Oryctolagus cuniculus: one gene and its partner. The protein of the gene in region 2 interacts with the protein of the main gene of each other region in a pairwise test. Links are inferred from orthologs where the notes say so. Each region holds a gene or a part of one and is shown on either strand. Other genes may lie near its edges.

What was found.
Region 1: the proteins of PLAA (region 2) and UBXN1 interact in binary tests that used the Homo sapiens proteins (3 or more experiments, as listed by UniProt). The two-hybrid records come from large-scale screens. The link is inferred for Oryctolagus cuniculus from reciprocal best matches to the Homo sapiens genes PLAA and UBXN1.

What each region holds. Positions count from the first base shown.
Region 1 is NC_091432.1:8,888,521-8,893,212, forward strand, and holds UBXN1 (UBX domain-containing protein 1), read left to right. Parts: upstream 1-1,253; 5' UTR 1,254-1,460; coding exon 1,461-1,519; intron 1,520-1,626; coding exon 1,627-1,680; intron 1,681-1,768; coding exon 1,769-1,875; intron 1,876-1,961; coding exon 1,962-2,031; intron 2,032-2,151; coding exon 2,152-2,343; intron 2,344-2,426; coding exon 2,427-2,478; intron 2,479-2,596; coding exon 2,597-2,713; intron 2,714-3,618; coding exon 3,619-3,811; intron 3,812-3,971; coding exon 3,972-4,021; 3' UTR 4,022-4,111; downstream 4,112-4,692.
Region 2 is NC_091432.1:190,206,292-190,210,983, reverse strand, and holds the start of PLAA (phospholipase A-2-activating protein), read left to right. Parts: upstream 1-1,601; 5' UTR 1,602-2,043; coding exon 2,044-2,192; intron 2,193-4,692. UniProt on the Homo sapiens protein: Plays a role in protein ubiquitination, sorting and degradation through its association with VCP. Involved in ubiquitin-mediated membrane proteins trafficking to late endosomes in an ESCRT-dependent manner, and hence plays a role in synaptic vesicle recycling.

The DNA.
Region 1 (4,692 bases), about 180 Mb from region 2:
TGGATCAGAAACACAGAGGCCAGCAAGTCAGGTGCTCTGATCCGTGATAGCAACAGTGCTTAACTCTCTGCACACAAAGTCAGGCCCTCTGTGAATTCGCTGGCCCCATTAGAGTCACTTCCCATTGCATCTCTCTCTTTCTCCATCGCTCTGCCTTTCAAGTAAATAAAAAATCTTGCAAAAAAAAAAAAAAAAAAAAAAGAAAAAAAAAGAAAAGAAAAAGAAAATTTCACTTTTTAAATATTTTTTAAAATTGTCATTTATTTTACTTATTTGAGAAACAGAGTCAGACAGAGGTCTCCCGTCTGCTGGTTCCCATCCAAATGCCCATAATTGCTATGGCTGGGCCAGCTGAAGTCAGGAGCTGGGAACTCCATCTGGGTCTCATGTATGACTGGCACATGTACCTGAGCCGTCACCTGCTGCCTACCAGCGTGTGCAGTAGCAGGAAACTGGAATGGAAGCAGAGCCAGGACTTGAACTTAGTTAGGCCAAGTGCCTGCTCCCTAAAAACCAAAGTGCTTCACCTCGCTGGATCTAACAGCCTTGGCAGTGACGGGGTACTAGGTTATCAGTGAGCACACAGCGGAGGGGTGAATAACGAATGAGGCAGACACTGAAGCTTCGGGGGGGGGGGGGCACGCAGGCTTGGGTTAGGAAGCAGACTCTGGATCCTGGAAAATGACCGCGAGGAGGGCTAGGGCCTGTTTTGCAATATGCGCAGGTCACCCTGAGGTGGCTGGGGATGAAGCTGCGCGGGTTTAACTACCAGCACTGAAGTCACACCGTCTAGGGCAGGTGTGAGTGCTGTCTCCACTTTACCAGACAGCGGGGCAGAAGGCCGCGGGTGTTTCAGTTTTGCGCGACACGGAGAAGTCCGAAGCAGAAAAGCGATGACAGGATCAGACACACTGTGTTTTCGCAAAAGGCCCTTCGGCGGTAGGGCAGAGGATGGCTCCCTGCCCCGGGGGAAGACGAGCGGGCTGAAGAGCGCGCACACTTCTACGGCTCCTGATACACTCGGCCAAACTACTTTCCAACGGGATCGGCTAAGGGGCCGTGATCCTGGTAATCTGCGAGGAGGGTGAAGGGTGCGAAGCTGGGGGGCCCGCTTGCCTCCGCCCACCGCCGCGGGGCGCCAGGGCTCGACGCGTCGGCTCGGATCCGCGGACTCTGCGCCGCTGCCGGCCCCGCCCGCGCGAGGTCCAGGCAGCCGGACCCGGGAGCTTTGTGGCTCCTGGCGGCACCCGTCCACGTCCGTCCCACGTGACCCAAACAGTTTCGTGCACTTCCGTTTCCCTCTCGGCTTTCTTATCGTCGGTGTCCCGGCGGGTCCGGAGCCGGTGGGTGAGGGAGCGCCCGGCCGGGGGCGTCAGAGGCGGGGTCGCCCTGCGCTGACCGTTCCCGGCCTCCCTGTCGGCACACCAGGTCCCCGCGGAAGCGGCGGCGGCGGCGGCGCCATGGCGGAGCTGACGGCTCTGGAGAGCCTCATCGAGATGGGCTTCCCCAGGGGACGCGCGTAAGGGAGCCTCCTCGCCCCGATCCGCGCGGACCGGTCCCGGCCTTTCCCCGAGCCTGGCCGTCACTATGGCTCGTAGGCGCTACTCACGCTGTTTCTCCCTCCAGGGAGAAGGCTCTGGCCCTCACAGGGAACCAGGGTATCGAAGCGGCGATGGACTGGTGAGCGCTCAGGCCAGGGGCCCGAGGGTTGGGGGCTGTCGGGAGCGGCAGCCTGGACGCTGAGCTCCCTGCCGACTCCCCCGGCCAGGTTGATGGAGCACGAAGACGACCCCGATGTGGACGAGCCTCTGCAGGCCCCGCTCGGACATGTTCTGGGACGGGAACCCACCTCCTTGGAGCAAAGTGGCGCCGCAGGTCCCGACTGGGGGGACGTGGTGTAATTACCCGCGGGCACCCGAGGAGAGCCTGCACGCGGAATAACACGGGTTGCTCGTTTGTAGGCCCTGGGTCTGCTGCTGGCGAAGGCAAACCCGCGCTGAGTGAGGAGGAGAGGCAGGAACAGACGAAGAGGTGGGTTGGTGGGGAACCATGTTGAGTTTCTCTCCGCGCCTCCCTGACCTGCCCCGGGACACGCGTTCCTCGGCCCCTTGCTGTAAACCTACCTTCCCCCGGCGTGCCCTCTTCCCTCAGGATGATGGAGCTGGTGGCCCAGAAGCAGCGCGAGCGGGAAGAACGAGAGGAGCGGGAAGCCTTGGAACGGGAGCGGCAGCGCCGGCGGCAGGGGCAGGAGCTGTCAGCGGCCCGACAGCGGCTGCAGGAGGGCGAGATGCGCCGCGCCGCGGAGGAGCGGAGGCGGGAGAAGGCCGAGGAGTTGGCAGCCAGGTCTGGGGCGGGGGGCTGGGGGCTGGGGGCGACTCGCGGTTTGCTTGGCTGGTGTCTGACCTTCCTCCCTGTCTGCATTCCAGACAGAGGGTTCGTGAGAAGATTGAGAGAGACAAAGCGGAGAGAGCCAAGAAGGTCGGTGTTGGCGAGACACTGGGGGTGGTGCCGTAGGCGGGTTAGTGAACCGCCCTTTTGTGAGCCCTTCCTCCTGAGGGTGAGTGCCTGCCTGACAGTGTTCGATTTTGTCCTTCAGTATGGTGGCAGCGTGGGTTCGCAGCCAACCCCACCAGCGACAGAGCCAGGTCCTGTTCCCTCCTCTCCCAGCCAGGAGCCCCCCAGCAAGCGCGAGTACGACCAGTGTCGCATCCAGGTACTGATTCTGAGTCCCGTCTTCTTCCTGGGACCCCTTTTTCAGGGCTTTAGGGTGCCCGTTCAGAGCTTTTTTCAGTCTTGTTCCCTTTGCCAGGTCTCTTCCTTCTTTGTAAATGACTTTTGAAATACTACCTCCTCTACTCTTAGGAAAGGATCAAATTTCACCTGCTCCAGTCTTATTTAAACCCATACCTCCCTCTTACTCAGCAGTTCACCTTTTACTTGTCCATGTTTCATTTGGTTTATTACACAGGTATTTTTGTGACATGATATTTATCCAAATGTTTCTGTCCTTGTCTTAGATTTTGAGGGATCCAGGAGTCTCTCTTTTTTTATTTTTATTTTTTTTGACAAGAATGAGACTTTAATCAGTTTTAAGTGGAGTTTATAACACTAAGAGATAAAAGGTTGTTAACAAACACAATAACAAATGGACATCTGATTGGTATGAGAGGAGTCTCTCTTTTTAACAGTAAAGCAGAGCATAAGTGGTTTTTTTAGGTGCTTTAAATAGTAGTTGTGCTAGTTTAGTCTCTTTAAGAGGAAGTGGGGGTAGCTTTTTAGCTGTTCTTTTCCTTGGGCATTTTTTAAAAAGATTTTTATTTATTTGAAAGGGAGAATTAGAAGTCTTCCATCTGCTGGTTCACTCCCCAAATGGCCACAATGGCCAGGGCTGGGCCAGGCCGAAGTCAGGAGCCTGGAACTCCAAGCAGGTCTCCGACATGGGTGGCAGGGGCCCAATGACTTTGGTCATCTTCCCTGCTTTCCCAGACACACTAGCAGGGAGTTGGACCAGAAATGGAGCAGCCAGGACTCATATGGGAATCCGGCATCATAGGCCGGGGCTTAACCCCGCTCTGCAATGTCAGCTCCCTCCCTCAGGCTGCCTCCTTTGCCTTCTAGGTCAGGCTGCCAGATGGGACCTCACTGACCCAGACCTTCCGGGCCCGGGAACAGCTGGCAGCTGTGAGACTCTATGTGGAGCTCCACCGCGGGGAGGAACCTGGAGGAGGCCAGGACCCTGTGCAGTTGCTCAGTGGCTTCCCCAGGCGGGCCTTCTCAGAGGCTGACATGGAACGGCCTCTGCAGGAGCTGGGTACGTCATGCAGGACCACAAACCAGGATGTGGGGGAATGGAGGACATGCCTGGGAAGAGAAGGGACTCTGCAGATGCTGGGTGGTAGGTGCAACTGGAAATTTTGGGAGCAAACAAGTATCCTTGTGTGTGGTTCAAGCCTATTTTCTTTCATCTTCAGGACTCGTGCCTTCTGCTGTCCTCATTGTGGCCAAGAAATGTCCCAGCTGAGGCCTTTCTCCCACCGTTCTTCTCTGATCTTTTCATCTTTGATAAAGCACTGACATCTCCCGCTAATAAATAGACCCGCTGAGTTCTCTATATGCCTGACTCCTTCCTGAATTGTTGGGAGGGAGGAAACTCAAGCAGAGGAAGAAGCTGAACAGAAGGCAATGGAGTAGATCCTCTTCCTCATGGGTAGTTTCTAATCTCTGGGTCTGATTAGCTGTCAGGAAGGTTACGTGGGGAGATGTTGAGGGGTGGGGAGTACACTGGATGGCATCTTTTTGCTCCTGTGGATAATAGTTTCTAGAGTAAGAATAGTAGTACCTGTTTATTTGGGTTGTTTCATAGTGCCTGAAATATAATAAATCCCCCAAAATATTAGCTACTAAATGAGTCAGTTTAATATATATATATTTATGTGCTTATTTATTTTGAAAGGGAGAGACAGAGATCTTTCATCTGCTCGTTCATTCTCCGTATGGCAGCAACAGCCAGGGCTGAGCCAGGCTGAAGCCAGGAATCAGGAACTCTGGGTGGCAGGGGCTGGAGCATCACAAGTAGCGGTTTAACCCCACTGCACTGCAATTTCAGCCCCCAAAAGGGTTAATTTTTAATGTGCCACCCATAAATACTGAGAGGAGCATGAGAGTGACCTTGACCTTCACAACTGCATTTCT
Region 2 (4,692 bases):
AATCTGAAGCCAGGAGCCAGGAGCTTTATCTGGGTCTCCCACATGGGTGCAGGGGCCCAAGGATTTGGGCCATCCTCCACTGGCGCTAGTTCGAGTCCCAGCTGCTCCACTTCTGATCCAGCTCCCTGATATGGCCTAGAAAAGCAGTAGAAGATGGCCCAAATCTTTGGGCCCCTGTACCCGCGTGGGAGACCCAGAAGAAGCTCCTGCCTTCTGGCTCCTGGCTTTGGATGGACACAGTTCTGGCTGTTGCGGCCATCTGGTGAGTGAACCGTGGATGAAAGACCTCTCTGTCTCTCTCTCTCTGTCTCTGCCTATACCTCTCTCTAGTTCTGCCTTTCAAATAAATAAATAAAATCTTTAAAAAAATAAGATTTATTTATTTGAAAATAAAAAATTGTATTGGTTCCAGAGAGGAACTAGACGGATACACATGATAAACCAGTATTGAAATTTGACAGGTAAAGAACGTGACATTCTAGGTTACAATGATAGTACCCACCCTATCCTTGCGTCATCCTTTAAAAAAGTGATTTATTTATTTGAAAGGCAGAGTTACAGAGAGGTAGAGGCAAAAAGAGAAGTCTTTCCAGGCAGATTCACTACCCAAGTGGCTGCAAGGGCTGGAATTGGGCCTACCCAAAGCTAGGAGCTAGGAGCCTCCTCCTGGTCCCCCTAGGTGGGTGCAGGGGCCCAAAGCCTTGGACTATCTCCTAATGCTTTCCCAGGCCACAGCAGAGAGCTGTATGGGAAGAGGAGCAGCCGGGACATGAACCGGTGCAGATATGGGATGCTGGCACTGCAAGCGGAGGCTTTACCACTACGCCACAGTGCCGGCCCCTAGGTTAAGATTTCTAACAGCTGGAAATACAGATCTGAAATTTGGATATGTCATTCTGAGGGATAGAGCTTTAGAAGAAAAGCAAAGTGGTAAATAGTCTCCTCAGGGAGAGGTATTCAGGGCTGTTGGAGAAAGAAAAGGAGGAGTGGTGATTCCAAACCTGAAGTGGGCGTTTCCAGTAGGGAGAAGTCAGAAAAGCGCAAACTGTAATTAATTTATAAGGGTTGTGAAGTGGAACTAGATGCAAGGGGGGAGCAGCTGGAAGTAGAACAGGTCTTGTAAACCCTTGCAGTCATTGTAGACGGATGACGACAAGCAGCATCACCTGGGGTTTGTCAAAACTGCATGAGCTACGTTCGGCCTCAGCCGGACCTACCGAATCAGAATCTGCACTTCAACAAACTACCGGAAGTAGGCGTACTTTCAAAGAGTACAACTGGACTATCTTACTTATTTGCTAACTTTGATGGTAGGGGGCAAAGAGACTAGTAATTTGAAACCAAGGCAAACTATTAAGCGGCCCCAATTTCCTGGTCTCTAGTTTTAATGGGGGGTGGGGAGGGAGGAAAACCGCTTGTTTAAAATGTCAGTAGACTGCAGAGGCGGTTTGAGGAAAATTGGTATGGACGCCGCAAAAGAAGTCAACAAGCAACTCCACCCCGTTGACCCCACAGCGCGCAGCTCCGCGGACCCAGATTTGAAAAATCCAGATTCTGCGCACTGGCTGCTCACGCCCCACTGGCGCGCGGCATTGTGGGACTCGTAGTCCCCGCCTGCTTGCAGAATTACAACAAACAGTTTGGCGGGGACGAGGAAAGGGTCAGAGTTTGGAAAGGACCCGAGGGCGGGGTCAAAACAGCCGGCCGTCCTTACCCCTTCGTCTTAGGGCTGCCTCGAGCGCGAGAGGGGACAGAACCCTAGCTGCCCGCCGGCCTCGGCAGCCCGGACGCACACGCTCTGCGTCATGGCGGGCTGGGGCGGATGATGAATTCCGGTGTGCAAGTGTGGGTTGCTGTGTCACTCGGCCCGCTCGGCGCGCCCCTTCCCCGCCGCCCTTCCGCACCGGCTCTTGGGCTCTTCCGGTCCCCAGGCGCCCCTCACCTGCAGGCTCGTCTCCCGCCGCCGCTTGGAGCACGCCGAGTCTCCGCTGCGGACTGATCTCGCGCGGTGCCCGGGATCCGGGCGCCGGAAAGACCCTGGCCATGGCTAGCGGCGCTGCCAGGTACCGGCTGAGCTGCTCGCTCCCGGGTCATGAGCTGGACGTGCGGGGCCTGGTGTGCTGCCTCTATCCGCCGGGGGCCTTTGTGTCGGTGTCCCGAGACCGCACCACCCGCCTTTGGGCCCCGGACAGGTGAGCGCTGCGAGTGGGGCTGTCGGCCGTCTGTGTTGCAAGCTTCCCGGCGAGTGGGAAGAGTGTCTCTTCCCTGCTGTAGCCTGCTCTTTCCCTCTCTTGCTGGTCTTTCCTCTGCTTCCCGCTCCTTCCCAACCCTCTGAGCCCTGGCTCTCTGGGCACTCCTCGTTAAGATTCTAGCGAGACTGAAGTGGAAGGAACCCCAGGTGGGGGACCGAGATCGGCTTTCTTGTCCTAACTTGAGCACAATCAAATGAGTGACCTTGGACGCGCCTCTTATTATTTATTTTTTTGGTGGTGGTGGGGGGGGAGGGCTTCGGTTTTCGGACGATGATCTCCCAAGTGTCTTCTAGATTTAGAGGTTTACTAATTCCATGTGCATCTTCCTAAGTGAGTAAGTCCAAAAGCATCTGGCATGTCCTCGTTCTCCCCCAGAAGTTGTACTGTAGTCTTCCTTCCGATAGGTTTTGAACACGTCAGTTCTCAAAAATTGCATTGACTCCATCCCTGTTGTCCAGTTTAGAGTTCCTTAGTCGGGGGTCTGTGAGGGTCTTGGGGGCAGGGGGTGAAAACTTCTCAAAAGTTTTATTGCCATATGGGGACGTGCTGTTTTCTTGAGGACAGAGCTTGTACTAACCTGAAAAAGACTTATCAGAGGGGTTCAGGAGGGGAAGAAGGTCGAGAACCAGGTTAACCTCCAGTCCAGACCAAGTTCAAGGGTTTGGCTCTGATTTTAGCTGGTTTTTAGCAGGAAATTTAAAACCAGAACAGAGATTTTTTTTTTGTTCCGGAAAAAGAAAAATTGAGGTTAGTGGTTTTATTATTTGGCAAGTCTGCCATCACTGGAGGTTTCAGGGTTTGGGTGGCCATCCATCAGTCGATTGCTAACTATAGAGTGCCCCCTGTTTATTTTGGATCTTGGAGAGGAAAATGAAGACAAGTTGGCTGTGTTTGTACAGCTGTCTTGCAGTCTGCTGAGGAACAAGGCTTAAAACCCAAGCAAATAAGTAGTTAAGAACTGGCACCTGTATTATGAAGAAAATAAATGGGGTGAAGGAAGGTGTAAAAGAGGGGGCCTCTCTGAAGAGATGTGTGCTTTTGACATTTGAAGCACTGACCACATAGATTAAGCTGGGAGCCTTGGGGAGGAAGAATGAATAGAGTTGAACTGAAAGAGCTAGGCAGAGGCCCTGGCTTGAAAAAGACAAGTCCCTAAGTGGCAGGAGGGAATGAGCTGTGAACTGAGATCAGGCAAGAGCCACATCATGGAGTCTGCAGGTGGGAGCCTTCAAGAACTTAGCAGTGGAGAGCAGCGTGATGTGATTTACCCATTGAGAAGTGTCTGTCAGCTGCTGGTGGAGAAGGGGCACGGAAGTAGATCTTTTCGGAGGCATTTGCAGTATGCTAGACTAGACTAGGTTTTATAAAGCAAGCCTTGTATTGGATGAGTTGACCTCTACAGGTCTCTTCTAACATTGTCAGGACTATCTAAAGGTTGTCTGTTGTAATTTTATCTATCCTGCCATTAAACTTTTACATGTTTTGTAGAATTGTGTTAGGTTGACAAGAGTTTAAGTTGCTGGAGTGCTTGCATTTTCAAGCAACGTTTAGTTGAAATGATCTTCTATTTGAAAACTAATTCTTGTCTTTTAACTCATGTTCTTTTAAAAAAACTTATTCATAGATTTATTCAACTAACACTGATGAAGAGCTTGCATTTTGCCAGGCACAAGGCTAGAAAATGAGTGATAAGACAGATAAAATTACTTAATTTGTTATTTGTAACTGCATAGGTTAAAGGATCTCATAGTCACGGAGTGTTAATCTCTTAGCCATCATGAATAGAATGACCCAGCCACACCATTTATTGTTATAAAAAGTGTCTTCAAGGCCAAGATACTGGCAATTTTTATTTCATAGTATATTTATAAAATTAGAGTACCATACAATATTTGGAGCTAAGTAGTAAATGAAGTTTGTTTGCTCGTATACATTATTGATATGGTTCTGGTTCAGCATATTAAGTGTAGAGAGTAGAATGATGGGGGAGTTTTGTTCTAGGGAGATGGAAATAGTTCTGTTCTAGAGTGGACTAAGTCTTTCACAAAATCCCATTGAAAACCCAGAAAGTCTCTCTGGACCCTCTGAAGTCCCTTCAGAATAGAGACATTAATTTTTGGGTTGTGCACTGACTTGAGACAGCCAACATGCCCTTGTATCAGACTCCTTCTGTCTTCAGATTTCTCAAGTCTGTCACAACTTCTAAGTTTTGAGGTATGGCTCCAGCAACTTTGCCTTATATTGCTTAGCCTTTTAAAAACTACCCATATTTGAATCATATTTTCAGATTTAAGATCATGCCTTGAATCTTTCCTGAGCATGTCCTGAGGCTGAAGTGACATCTGGATTACGTAAACATTTAGAATTTTGGGTCCCCCTTCAAACAGTTCTGGGGTTTGTTAAGAAATCAATTCCCTTCCCACTGTGCTTCCATTTCCCT